2 linked regions of the Saccharomyces cerevisiae S288C genome follow. The gene in region 2 interacts genetically with the main gene of each other region. Each region holds a gene or a part of one and is shown on either strand. Other genes may lie near its edges.

Region 1 (7,665 bases), on a different chromosome or scaffold from region 2:
AAACATTACTATTAGACATAAGGGGGTGATTTCTTTCTTGCACGATTCTATATGACAGTTTTGTATGGAAAATATAGCATTCATTTGTCTTCAGAGCTGCACAAGAGGTATATACGGCTGCCAATTTTATAGCGCTACATTGGAAAATTATCATAACATATCATTTCCAATATTTCTATTGCAGACCACCTTATTTAATCACTGTATCTCTTTAAACTGGTCTAAAGCTGTGTTTAATCGTATTAAGAGGCGAAAGTACATGATGGAACTGAAAAAGCACTGTTACAATTACCAGGTGAGTAGGATAGGAAATCGGAAAAAAAATGGGTGCTTCTTTCTAAAAATGGCCAACAACAGAGTTTTCTCAGTCAAAAATAGCCCAAGATTATTGCTCTTCTTTATATAAGATTGAATAAGCCATCACATAGATGCGTGCTTTGGTGACTTTTTTTTCCAGCTTTTATTTTAATACGTTCTTGCTTGTATACTATCCCACTTTATATATATTACCTAAACTTTATTATTTAAAGCTCATCATGGTGGTCATGGCCACCGTAACATTGATTATTAAAGCAGCATCCACTCTCAAATCCCTCTTTTTGGACAGCGCGTTTGGATCCACACCACTCTTCACAGCAAACATGACCATTCTTCTCTGTGCACGTTTTAATGCATGAATAGCCCTTTCCACCGCAATTGTGTGCAGATGAATAGCCGAGCGATTTACCGCAATCAGTACAACCTCCAGTCGAGATACGATACCTTGCGTTAAGACACCCTTTTCCTCTTTTTAGCATTTCTTGGTTGACTTGTTGGCGAAGAAAAGAAAAGTCGGCGTCAAGAATATTAATTTTGGTAACGTTTGTATCAAAGCCAATGGTAGTACCATTGAATTCAGTTATGATTAGATTGATAGTACCATTGGTTTGCTGTAAGTTTACTGAGTCGACAACAGAGCTAGCATACGCATGAATCTCGGTCTGATTACTGTCGAGGGTTCCAGCATGAACGCAAGATTATACCGTCGCCAACAAGCTCATTAATATCGTGACCATGTTTTTTGAATTCATCTTCATAATACAAAAGTAATCTCTTATTTTCTAGTGTCCTTTTGGTGATATGTAAAGTATAACAATATATCTTCTCTTCAAACTGTGAAGGATTTAGAAACTTTATAAAGACAAAGTCGGAGAAATTCTCTTCACAATATACTGTATCCAGCCACTGCCCTGATAAATCGAGTTCACAGTATTGCATATGTGCAGTGATTCCACAAATGGTATTGGTTTGGTCCCAAACTCGACAAAACAAAGAAACTAGCAGCGTATATATAGTACTTATTCTATGGGGCTATTCATTTAATATTTAATCTGTCTGACCTGGCATTCTGCAAACTGTCGGTAGGAAATTACGCGATCAATAAAATTCCTGTTGATGGGAGGGAGAAGACAAGCGAACTCTACGCTTTAAGCAGAGCTGGTGGAAAAACACCATAATAATCCGAGGCAGCAGTTACGCTAAATGGAAAGAAATCGTTAAAAATAAGGGGCAGGCAGGTGTGCTGCTGAAAAGGTAAATGAAAACCAGTGAGTACACTTCTGCATGGATTTTTTTGGCAACAAATCAACGAAAAAAATACTCACAGCTTCCGAATAAGACGGCTTTCCATCAGTATTATTAGAGAATTATGTGGCTGTAACCTTGCTGTTTTTACACTCGTTCCAAGTAAAAAATGCTCATCTTACCATTTTAGATAGAAAAAAAAAATCCTACCTGCCATTTCTAGTCAGCAGAATCTTTACAACATATTGCGAATTTTCTTCAATATTGGTTTATTTTAAGTGTTTGATAGAGTTTGGAGTTCAATAATTTACGCTTGATGCTTAAGTTATTTTTAGTAATGGCACGATAATTAATGCTGTTGTTACTCCCTTATATGATACTACGCGGTAAATCATCATTATACGGAAACCTTTAGATATAGTGCTGTCAACTGGAATTATTATATGGGAAATAACAATTTGTGCATTTTGCATTGAACAGCTCAGGAGAAGAATTAAGTGTAAATTTGGGAGTTTGCTTTCAAATCACCGCCCTGAAAGTGAAGCAACAATCTTGAAGCCTGCTGTATTGGAAGCATTGGAATATACGTCACTCCCTGAACATCTTGAATCTTTTTTTTATTGCTAGCTACAGCTTCAGTTAATTTTGTCACCTTAGACTACCAATTGTTTTATTTTGTATCTTTGGTATGATAATCTTATTCCGTCTCGTATTATACTTGTCCTGTTATGATCTCTCGAAGCAAGTTCTAAGAACTTGTGAGTTTTATAATACTCCTAGGTTTAGCCACTTTCCAAAGATAGAGCAATCTTTTTGGAATTGAAATGTCAGAGGGATGATTCTGACGATAGACATTTTTCTGATGAACTGTTGCGTACGCACGCATAAAAACAGTATAACTTTAGGTGGTAGCGGTAGTGTCGACTTTTATTGGAATGAGAATTAACTATCATATATCGACTAGTATCCATAGTACGTGTATATTATCGTATACAACGTAAGAAAGACATAAATATTGAGAAACAGTCAACGATTTTAGTAGAGGTTGAAACGCGAGGCTTGATAATTTCATGGGATAATGAATGACGGTATATAAAATGAAAGAAGATGTAATAATATTCATTATCATTCAAACTTTATCTCAGCCCATCCTCATCTTTTTCAGTACTGTATGTGAACTCGTCCACAAACACCGTATAGCTACGTCCTCTTTCATTTTCAGGTATGTATCAGCTTCTTGCATCACGCCACCACTAGCACAACGAAAGTATACAATACAATGTCATTAACCCTAGATGCTGTTGTTCCTCGATGTTGTGTATACATACATTAACTCGAAAGTGCGATGTTAATGATGTCCCAGTGCTATATAATAAATCTACAAACTAAAAAATCTTGATCACATCAACCAAAAATGTATCTTACTGCTAAATGTGTCATAAAAGGGTTCCAGTATCCTTACTACACCATTATATAGAAGACTCTTTATAATTTCTTCCGTCAGAATAATTACTTATCAATAGATTGTTTAACGTAGGAGGAGTTGGATGAGCGCAAGCATTTGTTGAGTTATTCGCAACTGGATGAACATAATGTCCTTCTTCATCATATACACGCATTACCAAATCCATTATATCTGTACAATAATCAGTCTCAGAATTATATGGCTCAGGTCCGTTATAAGTCGATAGATCTAGGTTACTGTACTCATAAGAATCTGTAATAGCCTCCAACTCAACTAAGGTATCCCTATAAATCAAAGATTGCTGATCGCCGGGTTCAAACCGTCCCGTTCTAAGTGTTCTACCACTTTTATCAGAATAAATATCATAGTAAGATGCTTGGAATAGCCAGCATATTTGATTGTTTGTCATATTAGTTGGCAAGTTGAAAAATACTTGGTAACCGCTGGTGATATCAACATATGCGGAGCATAATGAGTACAATTGAGAAAAAATGCAAAATAAACCAAATAAGGGAACCATTTTTTACTAAGCCTCTCTACCCTTTTAAAAATGGTTTTGACTTCAAACGCTTAGGAAGCAAACATGCTACTGCTATTTTTTGTCCAAAATTTTTATCCTTTATAGTTAATGTTTTTAGATATTGCGCGGATCCATTTAAAAGCAATTTTAGTTTGGTTACATAATGTTCAGACATGTATTTTAAAAGGTTAAGCGGCGTGCCTTAAAGCATTTTACTCCCGAGTTTGATTGACTCGCTTATGTTCATAGGTATATTAAACAAGAATTATGGAGAAAACAGTCTTTAACGTGTATTTTTAAATCTATATACATAAACCGTAGGACGCGGCATTCGACTGCTTTGATAAGAATTCAAAAGTTAGTGTCCGGAAATCTATTTTTAGTAAAAGTAATAATGTTATTTGTACAGAGTATTGCAGAAGTTCTCTTTTAGAGTGTTATGAATTCATGAAATCGAATCTATAGCTTGCAATATAATCAATGCCATAATACTACTGTTGAAATAGAGAATTTGGTGAATAATTGGATAATTGTTAGGATTTTCATTATTATTGAAGGCTATAATATTAGGTATGCAGGATATGCTAGAAGTTCTCCTCAGATATATAGCAATTCATGAAGGATCGTCGATTATTCTATAGAATAGTATTATTACTTCACTTTCCATTTTATATGTTGTGATTCATTATCTTATTACATTCCTAATTCTTGAGTGTCAGCTTTCACTAAATTTCATGGCTGTTTCTCTATCTTTATGTCGCCTTCACTTATTTCTACACTCCTCAAGATTAAGTATCTAATTTTTGTAGGAAAACGACACTGCAAAGAGTGGATCAATATATAATAACATGTTTTAAATAAACGTCTACTTATGATGGAAAACATTAACTTGTGAGTTAGGATTTTTTGTATATGAGATATTTTAAAGAAAATTTAGTTCCAAAGGAGAAAATGACTTGCACAAAAATGACATGGGCAAAATACCTAATATTAAATGAGCTCTATCTACAATCCGTGCAGCTATACATACTTTCACGCTTGTTATACATTAATCAGCGAACCATTATAAGTATGGGGCCACTAATATTTCATATATTCTCTGATCTGAGACTGTTGGAGTCGATTTCTCGCACAATCAGCACTGGTTAAAATTTCGTGGGGTTACTGCTTCTTTTAAGTCGGTCAATGTTTTCTTCATTCTTTCGAACTTTGAATATTTTTTATGACGTCAATTATAAGAAGTATGAAAGTCAGGTTAGCAACAGCTAAAACTAAATAATAAAGGGCTCAAGCAGGCTTACGGCAGGTGGTGATTATATTTACACTACTAATTTTTTTTAATTCGTTTACGCTCTAGTAAAAGTTCTTCGCAACATTTTTTTTTATATTTCTTTATAAAAACTACGGGAAATGACAGGTGCGAATAATCTCATTGATTTTTGTATTGTCAAGCCCATTTAAGACTATAATATTGCTGAAATAAACGTAACAAACGTATGGATATTCACTTAGTTAGAAAAGAAAAATAAAATAAAACTAATTCGAACTTTTTGTTGTTTTTTATTTCAGACAACAATATTATACTGTTACACGCCATTATTGATTACTACTTACATTAACAGTGATTATTTCAAAGAGAATTCTAGTTCAGGAAAGAGCTTAACACTATATTTGTATCGCTAGTACTCTCCAGCTCAATATCCAATTACACGACGGAGCCATGATTGTTGTTTGATTTTGAGCTTCTCTTTCTCTCGTTCTTCTGCGGAAAGACTTTGCTTCTTGTTTACAGTAAAGCCACGCAAGAAAAAACAGAGAACAGCATTGAAAGCCGCAAACGAAATGGACACAATTATCAATAAGCGTTGAATCTTCGAATAGGATTCTATCATCTGAACACGAACCTCTGATCCAATAGGGTATTTTTTTAGATAATTGAGTGGTGATTTGTAGATTGCCATCCCTAAACTAGAGCCGAGTCGCTGTATCAACTCCTTTGCCAGACGCTGAGTCCATATAGCACCAGCGATGGAAGCACCTACTGCGTCTCCGATTTGATAAACGGACATTAGTAACCCAGTGACAGTTGCCATCTCATTGTGGGTGGTTGAAGCGTGCACTAGCGTCCACATAGGAAAACGTATCATACCACCAGCTATACCGACCACAATCTCAGCGCCAATAAGACCCGAAATCCCGTCATATACCACCCTGTATTTGTACAAAAGACCCATTCCGATGACACCAAGAAGCGACCCAGCGACTACAAAGACTTTCGGATGAGGATAGAAATGCAGCATAATGCCGACAACAATATTAGTGCATGACTGTAGAAAATTGTAAAGCTGAGCTATCCGCTGCGCACTTAATGTTGATTCTCCGAATGCTACCATTAACACGGTGACCAAATACTCTAACTCAATCTGCAAACCTAGACGCCATACAAATTCCATTAGCAATGCAACGTAGATGGTTGGATCACCTAGATATACTCGTGGGATAAATGGATTCTTAGCAAATTTTAATTCCCAAATTAGAAAGATAAAACCTAAGCAGCCACCAACCACAATCATTGCAATAATGTGACCCTCTCTCCATTTGGAGGTGGCTCCACCAGCTATTGTGAGAGGTAATAATACTAAAACTAAGAAAGCAGTGAAAAGAATGACTCCAATTAAGTTTATGTCATCCGCAAATTTCCAGAGCGTTTGACGCAGGGTCTGTCCTTTTTCTTTCAATTTTAATGGTGGTAACTTACCGCTGCGCCAGGAAATGTACTGAGCATACACATAGGGAAGGACCAATATTAGGGTGGAGATGGGCACAATGATGCAAAAAATTCCATAGCCCCAACGCCATTTATATGGTGCAACATTACCAGCAACTGAGCTAACAATATTTCCACTTACCCATGTGTTTATAATCACGGGAATCAGAAATATGTTCATCGCAAATGTACGATCTCTCAATCCAGACAGATCACCAGTCAGTGCTGTAGCAAGAAGACGAAATCCAGAATAACCGAACTGTTGTATAACAATACCTGCAAAAAGTCCGGAAAACGTTGGAGTAGCAGCAGAAATAATTTCTCCAATAGTATAGAGCACAAGCGCAAAAATCCAGCATTCTATACGTCCAAACCGATCAGATATACGTGCGTATGGCACTGCGACAACAGAGGCTACTATTGATTTGACGGTATTGATCGATCCTACTTGAGAATGCTTTCCAAAACTGTTAGCGGCATAGGTTTGTATTGATTGCGAAATCTGCCCTCCGAGTCCAGTACAGTAACCCTGCAAAAACAGAGCCACCAGTAGGGCGGTCTTGAGTGAACTAAACGTAACTCCAAAAGCTGTGAAAGAGCTGTAGTCAGACAAGACCTTGTTGACAGCGTCTATACGGCGCAAGCCAGACGTGGTAGACTTCTCAACATTGCTATCTGTCTTTTCGCTGTAGCAGACAGTGCTTTTATCGTCTAAATTGTCATTCCTAGAGTGATCAGTTTCCAGCATTTTCAGAGAGACATTCACGAGCACTTTTTTGCTATATTAGAGTTCTGCTAGGACCCAAACCATCATTTCAATTAAATAAGTCATCTCTATTATCCAAACATAGACCCTTCGCCACTCAAAAGCCACAGAGGGGTGCAATTGTAAGCCGTGGCAGCCTCTATAATAGTATACATTTGTATCACATTTGGGTGCAATAATTTAAACAGATTTTTGCAGTTGACTCAGGACTAAGGGCAATTCTTGCCCAAACTACGGAACCCTGTTTCTGATCCGAAGGGCTTATAATCCATAGAAACCCTTACATTTGCTCACTGAAAACCCTGTGTCCTTATTTGGTATATATGATGCGAGGATTAAACGAAAACGGAAAATTTTAGGTTTGAGGGTCCCATTAGTTCAACTAAAAAAGAAAAACGAAAAAAAAAAAAAACAAAGTCAAACCATAAAAAGTTTTGAACTACAGAAAATGTAGGCTTGTCTATTCTCCTGAATTTGACTTTTTTTTTTTCTAACTTTTTCACACCCCTTCATTAACTAATTAAAACTGTCGTAGAATTTCCCTTCATTTTTATTCAGCCATCCTCAGTTAGGAACGATTGATA
Region 2 (5,556 bases):
TCTCTAATGATTCCTCTGCTTATTGTAGTGTTCCCTGTTATCAAGGACCCTATCACCTCCCAACCAATGTCTCCCCGTGATTCCTCTCAGTTCATCTTATCAACGATGTGGTCGAGTGTCATCATGCTTTTGCTGGGTGGGTTTACTTTAGCAGCCGCCCTTTCCAAGTACAACATTGCCAAAGTCCTTTCTACGCATATTTTGGCATCCGCCGGTACAAACCCACATTTTATTCTTTTAACAAATATGTTTGTGGCGCTCTTTGTTTCCATGTGGGTTTCTAATGTTGCTGCCCCCGTTCTTTGCTATTCAATTGTTCAACCTTTGCTCAGAACACTGCCAAGAAATTGTTCCTATGCCAAAGCTCTAATTCTTGGTATCGCTCTTGCCTCCAATATCGGTGGTATGTCTTCTCCCATCGCTTCTCCTCAAAACATTTTTTCTATTGGTATAATGGACCCTTCACCATCTTGGGCTGAATGGTTTATGATTGCGCTACCTGTGTGCTTTATTTGTGTCATGGCAATTTGGGTGCTATTGATCATAACCTTCCCTCCTGAGCCAAATGTGAAAATTTTGCAATTGCATCCATCCCGTGATCCATTCACTCTGAAGCAATGGTTTGTCACTTTAGTTTGCATTATAACAATTGTTCTTTGGTGTCTTTCAAACCAAATCTCCGGTATCTTTGGTGAAATGGGAATCATATCTATTATACCTATAGTAGTCTTCTTCGGTACAGGTCTTCTAACTTCGGATGATTTCAATAATTTCATGTGGACAATCGTTGTTTTGGCCATGGGAGGTACCACCCTAGGTAAGGCGGTAAGCTCATCCGGTTTATTGTCTACAATGGCACAGTTAATTAAGGCGCAGGTTGAGCATGAACCAATCTTCATTATTGTGTTGATCTTCGGTCTAGTGATTCTTGTAATGGCCACTTTTGTCTCCCATACCGTCGCGGCAATGATCATCGTACCATTAATGAGTGAGATCGGTTCCAATCTACCTTCAGGTGATCATTCTAGACTATTGATCGTTATAGCCGCCCTATTATGCTCTAGTGCTATGGGTCTTCCAACCTCTGGTTTCCCCAACGTGACTGCCATTTCAATGATTGATGAAGTTGGTGATAGATATTTGACCGTGGGTACATTTATTACGAGAGGTGTACCAGCCAGTTTGTTAAGTTATGCCGCTATTGTTACAGTAGGTTATGGCATATTGAAAGTAATGGGATTTTAAGATTATCCATAGAGAGAATGAAAGGTTACTAATATAGTATGTATACGTGCACTATTATTTAATTTTACTTTATATTGCCTCTAATTATTCTCAATCACAACCAAAATACTTTGAATCAAAAAATCTGGTCAATGCCCATTTGTATTGATGATTTTGTAACTTTTCTCTGGAGATGATCATACCAGCAAAAATGTTGACTTTGTTATCAAATGCATTTAATATACGTCGGATACCAACTTCAGTGGCCAAATAAACCACCACGCTAATCTTTTCCAAATCAATACCATGATCTAAAAGCACCTGGATGGCCATGATCATGGCCGCACCACTTATGATTTGACCTTCCATTAAGAAAACCTTGCCAAACTTTTCTATATTTGGGGGTAAAAATTCGCAATGCAGTTGAGGTTCCCCAGTTTGTGAATCGGACTGAATCAACAATTTACCAATTGTGATATTGGGGATCGTCTTTCTCAAAGACTTCATAAAACAATCGCCAGATCGAATAATATTAACAGCTGTAACTTGATCGAATTGACAGGCAATAACGTTTTCCATGGTATGCTCACCAGGTGTAATTATGTTCGTATGTGCTACAGGAATGTCATCAAGTGCCCATGATAACAAAATTGTTGCTAACCTGTCAAAGTAGAAAACAAAGTCCGCGCAATTTAGATTTTTATTTAGAAGCATAGTATGCAGCGAAAGAACTTGGTTGGTGGGCGGCAATTCATGAATTATGTTACGATTAAGCACATCTTGTGAAGGAGAAGAGCCCAATTTGATTAGCTCTCTTAAGTGTTCATTTGATTTTAGTTCCAGTTTTGACTTGATGTGGTTAATGATTAAATTTACCGCTGTAGCATTATCACTCATCGATGGAATGATAGCATCTGCATTCTTCATTGTTGGTTTCACAAACTTTACCGCATTTGGTTTCACAAATTTCTCCCATTGTTGAATACAACCATCCAAATCTCTCCCTCTGGAAACTATATCTCTCGACAATCTTCTTGCTAAGCAGACATCCAAATCAGCGTCAACATAAATTTTCAAGTCCATCAAATCCAGCAATCGGCGATCGTAAAGGGCGTAGATCCCTTCGATAACTACCACACTGGCCCCGTATATGACTATATTTTTATCAGGAACTCTATTGTGGTGGACGAAGCTATAAACTGGGATATTTGTCCTTTTGCCCTCCTTTAAGTTCAAAATGCACTTATATGCCAAATCTAAGTTGATGGCATTTGGCTCGTCGAAATCGTATTCATTTTTAAAGGCTCTGGCTCTGTCCTCTGGGCCTAATGGATTGTAAAAGTTATCCAAAGATATTAATACTGTCCAGGGAACATTAATTGACGACACAATCTTAGCAGCAACGCTTGTCTTGCCTGAACCTGAAGCACCACCTATACCTATTATATATGGAGTTGTCCATGGTGGGATATACCGAGAGCTTTTTCCTTTTGTTTTTTTGACATCTACTTCACCATCCATGACTGCATTAGCTTTCAATGTGTCTCTTGTTTCATCGTCTAAAATTGAAATAAATGATGAAGATCGTTCTTTGGAAGGTGCTATACGATGGGACATAATAAATAAAATAAATGCGAGTTCGAAATTAAACGTATGAAATTATCGAAGATGTCGCATATAAATAGTAAATAAGACGTTATCCAAGGCCTACAGCCTTACGAAAAAAAAAAAAAATCACATCTCTTATCTTATCGATCTAAATTTTTCAGTTTCCTTTTTTCATCTCGAAGCTCATCGCATGAAAAAAAAACTTCGATATGTGAGCGTATTAAGACAATAGAGGAAATAGTGAGAACAAGTGGGAAAATTAAAGACTAATCATCGAAAATATGCAAGAATTCTTTAAGTGCTCGTATCTCAAATGTAGCCAAAACAGTACTAGCCCATACAACCTGATGACGAGAACGTGCTGAAAGTGGAAGACAGTTAGTTACCCGGACAATTAAAAAGTGATATTAATCAATTGTATAAGTAATAACGGATAGCTGCTATATGTTTAATTGGCATCTATATAGATAACAAGCGTGTATAGCAACACATGTCAAGTATTACATCTGAAACCGGTAAGCGAAGAGTGAAACGAACGTATGAAGTTACAAGACAGAATGACAATGCAGTAAGAATAGAGCCTTCTTCCTTGGGTGAGGAAGAAGACAAAGAGGCCAAGGATAAGAACTCTGCCTTGCAGCTAAAACGATCACGCTATGACCCCAATAAAGTTTTTTCTAATACGAACCAAGGTCCAGAAAAGAACAATTTAAAAGGAGAACAACTTGGATCACAAAAAAAGTCATCAAAGTATGATGAAAAAATAACGTCAAATAATGAACTTACTACAAAGAAGGGTCTACTAGGTGACTCCGAGAATGAAACTAAGTACGCCTCTTCTAATTCTAAATTTAACGTAGAAGTTACTCATAAAATAAAGAATGCAAAAGAAATTGACAAAATAAACAGACAACGCATGTGGGAAGAACAACAATTGCGAAATGCTATGGCGGGGCAAAGCGATCACCCTGATGATATAACATTGGAAGGCTCTGACAAGTACGATTATGTGTTCGACACAGATGCAATGATTGATTATACTAATGAGGAGGACGATTTACTACCTGAAGAGAAACTTCAATATGAGGCACGTCTAGCACAAGCTTTAGAAACTGAGGAAAAGCGTATACTGACTATACAAGAGGCAAGAAAACTTTTGCCTGTACATCAATACAAGGATGAGCTACTACAAGAGATCAAAAAAAATCAAGTTTTGATTATAATGGGTGAAACCGGTTCTGGTAAAACCACACAGTTACCCCAATATTTGGTAGAAGATGGATTCACTGATCAGGGAAAGTTACAGATTGCCATAACACAACCACGTCGTGTGGCGGCCACTTCTGTTGCTGCAAGAGTAGCAGATGAAATGAATGTTGTGCTTGGGAAGGAAGTGGGTTATCAGATCCGTTTTGAAGACAAAACAACCCCAAATAAAACGGTTCTAAAGTATATGACGGATGGTATGTTACTAAGAGAATTTCTTACAGATTCCAAATTAAGCAAATATTCTTGTATTATGATTGATGAAGCTCATGAACGTACTCTAGCCACAGATATCCTGATAGGTTTGCTGAAAGATATTTTGCCGCAGAGGCCCACTTTAAAATTGCTTATATCATCAGCAACAATGAACGCAAAAAAATTTTCAGAGTTTTTTGATAATTGTCCCATTTTCAACGTTCCTGGGAGAAGATATCCTGTAGATATCCACTACACATTACAGCCGGAGGCAAACTATATACATGCCGCTATAACAACTATTTTTCAAATTCATACTACGCAAAGTTTACCGGGGGATATATTGGTGTTTTTAACGGGGCAAGAAGAAATTGAAAGAACAAAAACCAAACTGGAGGAGATCATGTCTAAATTAGGTTCTAGAACAAAACAAATGATTATAACTCCTATATACGCAAATTTACCCCAAGAGCAGCAATTGAAAATTTTCCAGCCGACTCCGGAAAATTGTAGGAAAGTTGTTTTGGCAACTAATATTGCGGAAACTTCATTGACCATTGATGGTATTAGATATGTCATTGATCCTGGATTTGTTAAGGAAAATTCGTACGTACCCTCCACTGGAATGACCCAACTTTTAACAGTTCCATGCTCAAGAGCTTCAGTTGATCAGCGTGCCGGTAGGGCTGGTCGTGTTGGGCCGGGAAAATGTTTTAGAATTTTTACCAAATGGTCATATTTGCACGAGTTGGAACTTATGCCTAAGCCTGAGATCACAAGAACAAATCTTTCTAATACGGTGTTATTATTATTATCGCTTGGCGTTACTGACCTAATAAAGTTTCCCCTGATGGATAAGCCCAGTATCCCCACATTACGGAAGTCTTTGGAAAATTTATACATTTTAGGTGCCTTAAATAGCAAAGGGACAATCACTCGGTTAGGTAAAATGATGTGCGAGTTTCCTTGTGAACCTGAATTTGCAAAAGTGCTTTATACAGCTGCTACGCACGAACAATGTCAAGGTGTACTAGAAGAGTGTTTGACCATAGTTTCGATGCTACATGAAACACCTTCATTATTTATTGGTCAAAAAAGAGATGCTGCGGCAAGTGTGTTAAGCGAAGTGGAAAGTGATCACATATTGTATTTGGAAATCTTCAACCAATGGAGAAACTCTAAATTTTCCAGAAGTTGGTGTCAAGACCACAAAATTCAATTCAAAACGATGTTGAGGGTAAGAAATATTAGAAACCAATTATT

The links.
Region 1: mutations in URK1 (region 2) and CSS3 together harm fitness more than expected from each alone (negative genetic interaction), as found in Saccharomyces cerevisiae (one large-scale study listed by BioGRID).

The regions. Positions count from the first base shown.
Region 1 is NC_001147.6:14,249-21,913, forward strand, and holds CSS3 (Css3p), read right to left. Parts: upstream 3,549-7,665; coding exon 3,033-3,548; downstream 1-3,032. Other genes in the region: YOL160W (uncharacterized protein), read left to right, coding at 65-406; YOL159C-A (uncharacterized protein), read right to left, coding at 985-1,257; ENB1 (Enb1p), read right to left, coding at 5,243-7,063.
Region 2 is NC_001146.8:644,717-650,272, reverse strand, and holds URK1 (uridine kinase URK1), read right to left. Parts: upstream 2,842-5,556; coding exon 1,336-2,841; downstream 1-1,335. Other genes in the region: PHO91 (Pho91p), read left to right, coding at 1-1,245; DEAH-box RNA-dependent ATPase PRP2, read left to right, coding at 3,323-5,556. UniProt on the Saccharomyces cerevisiae protein: Catalyzes the conversion of uridine into UMP and cytidine into CMP in the pyrimidine salvage pathway.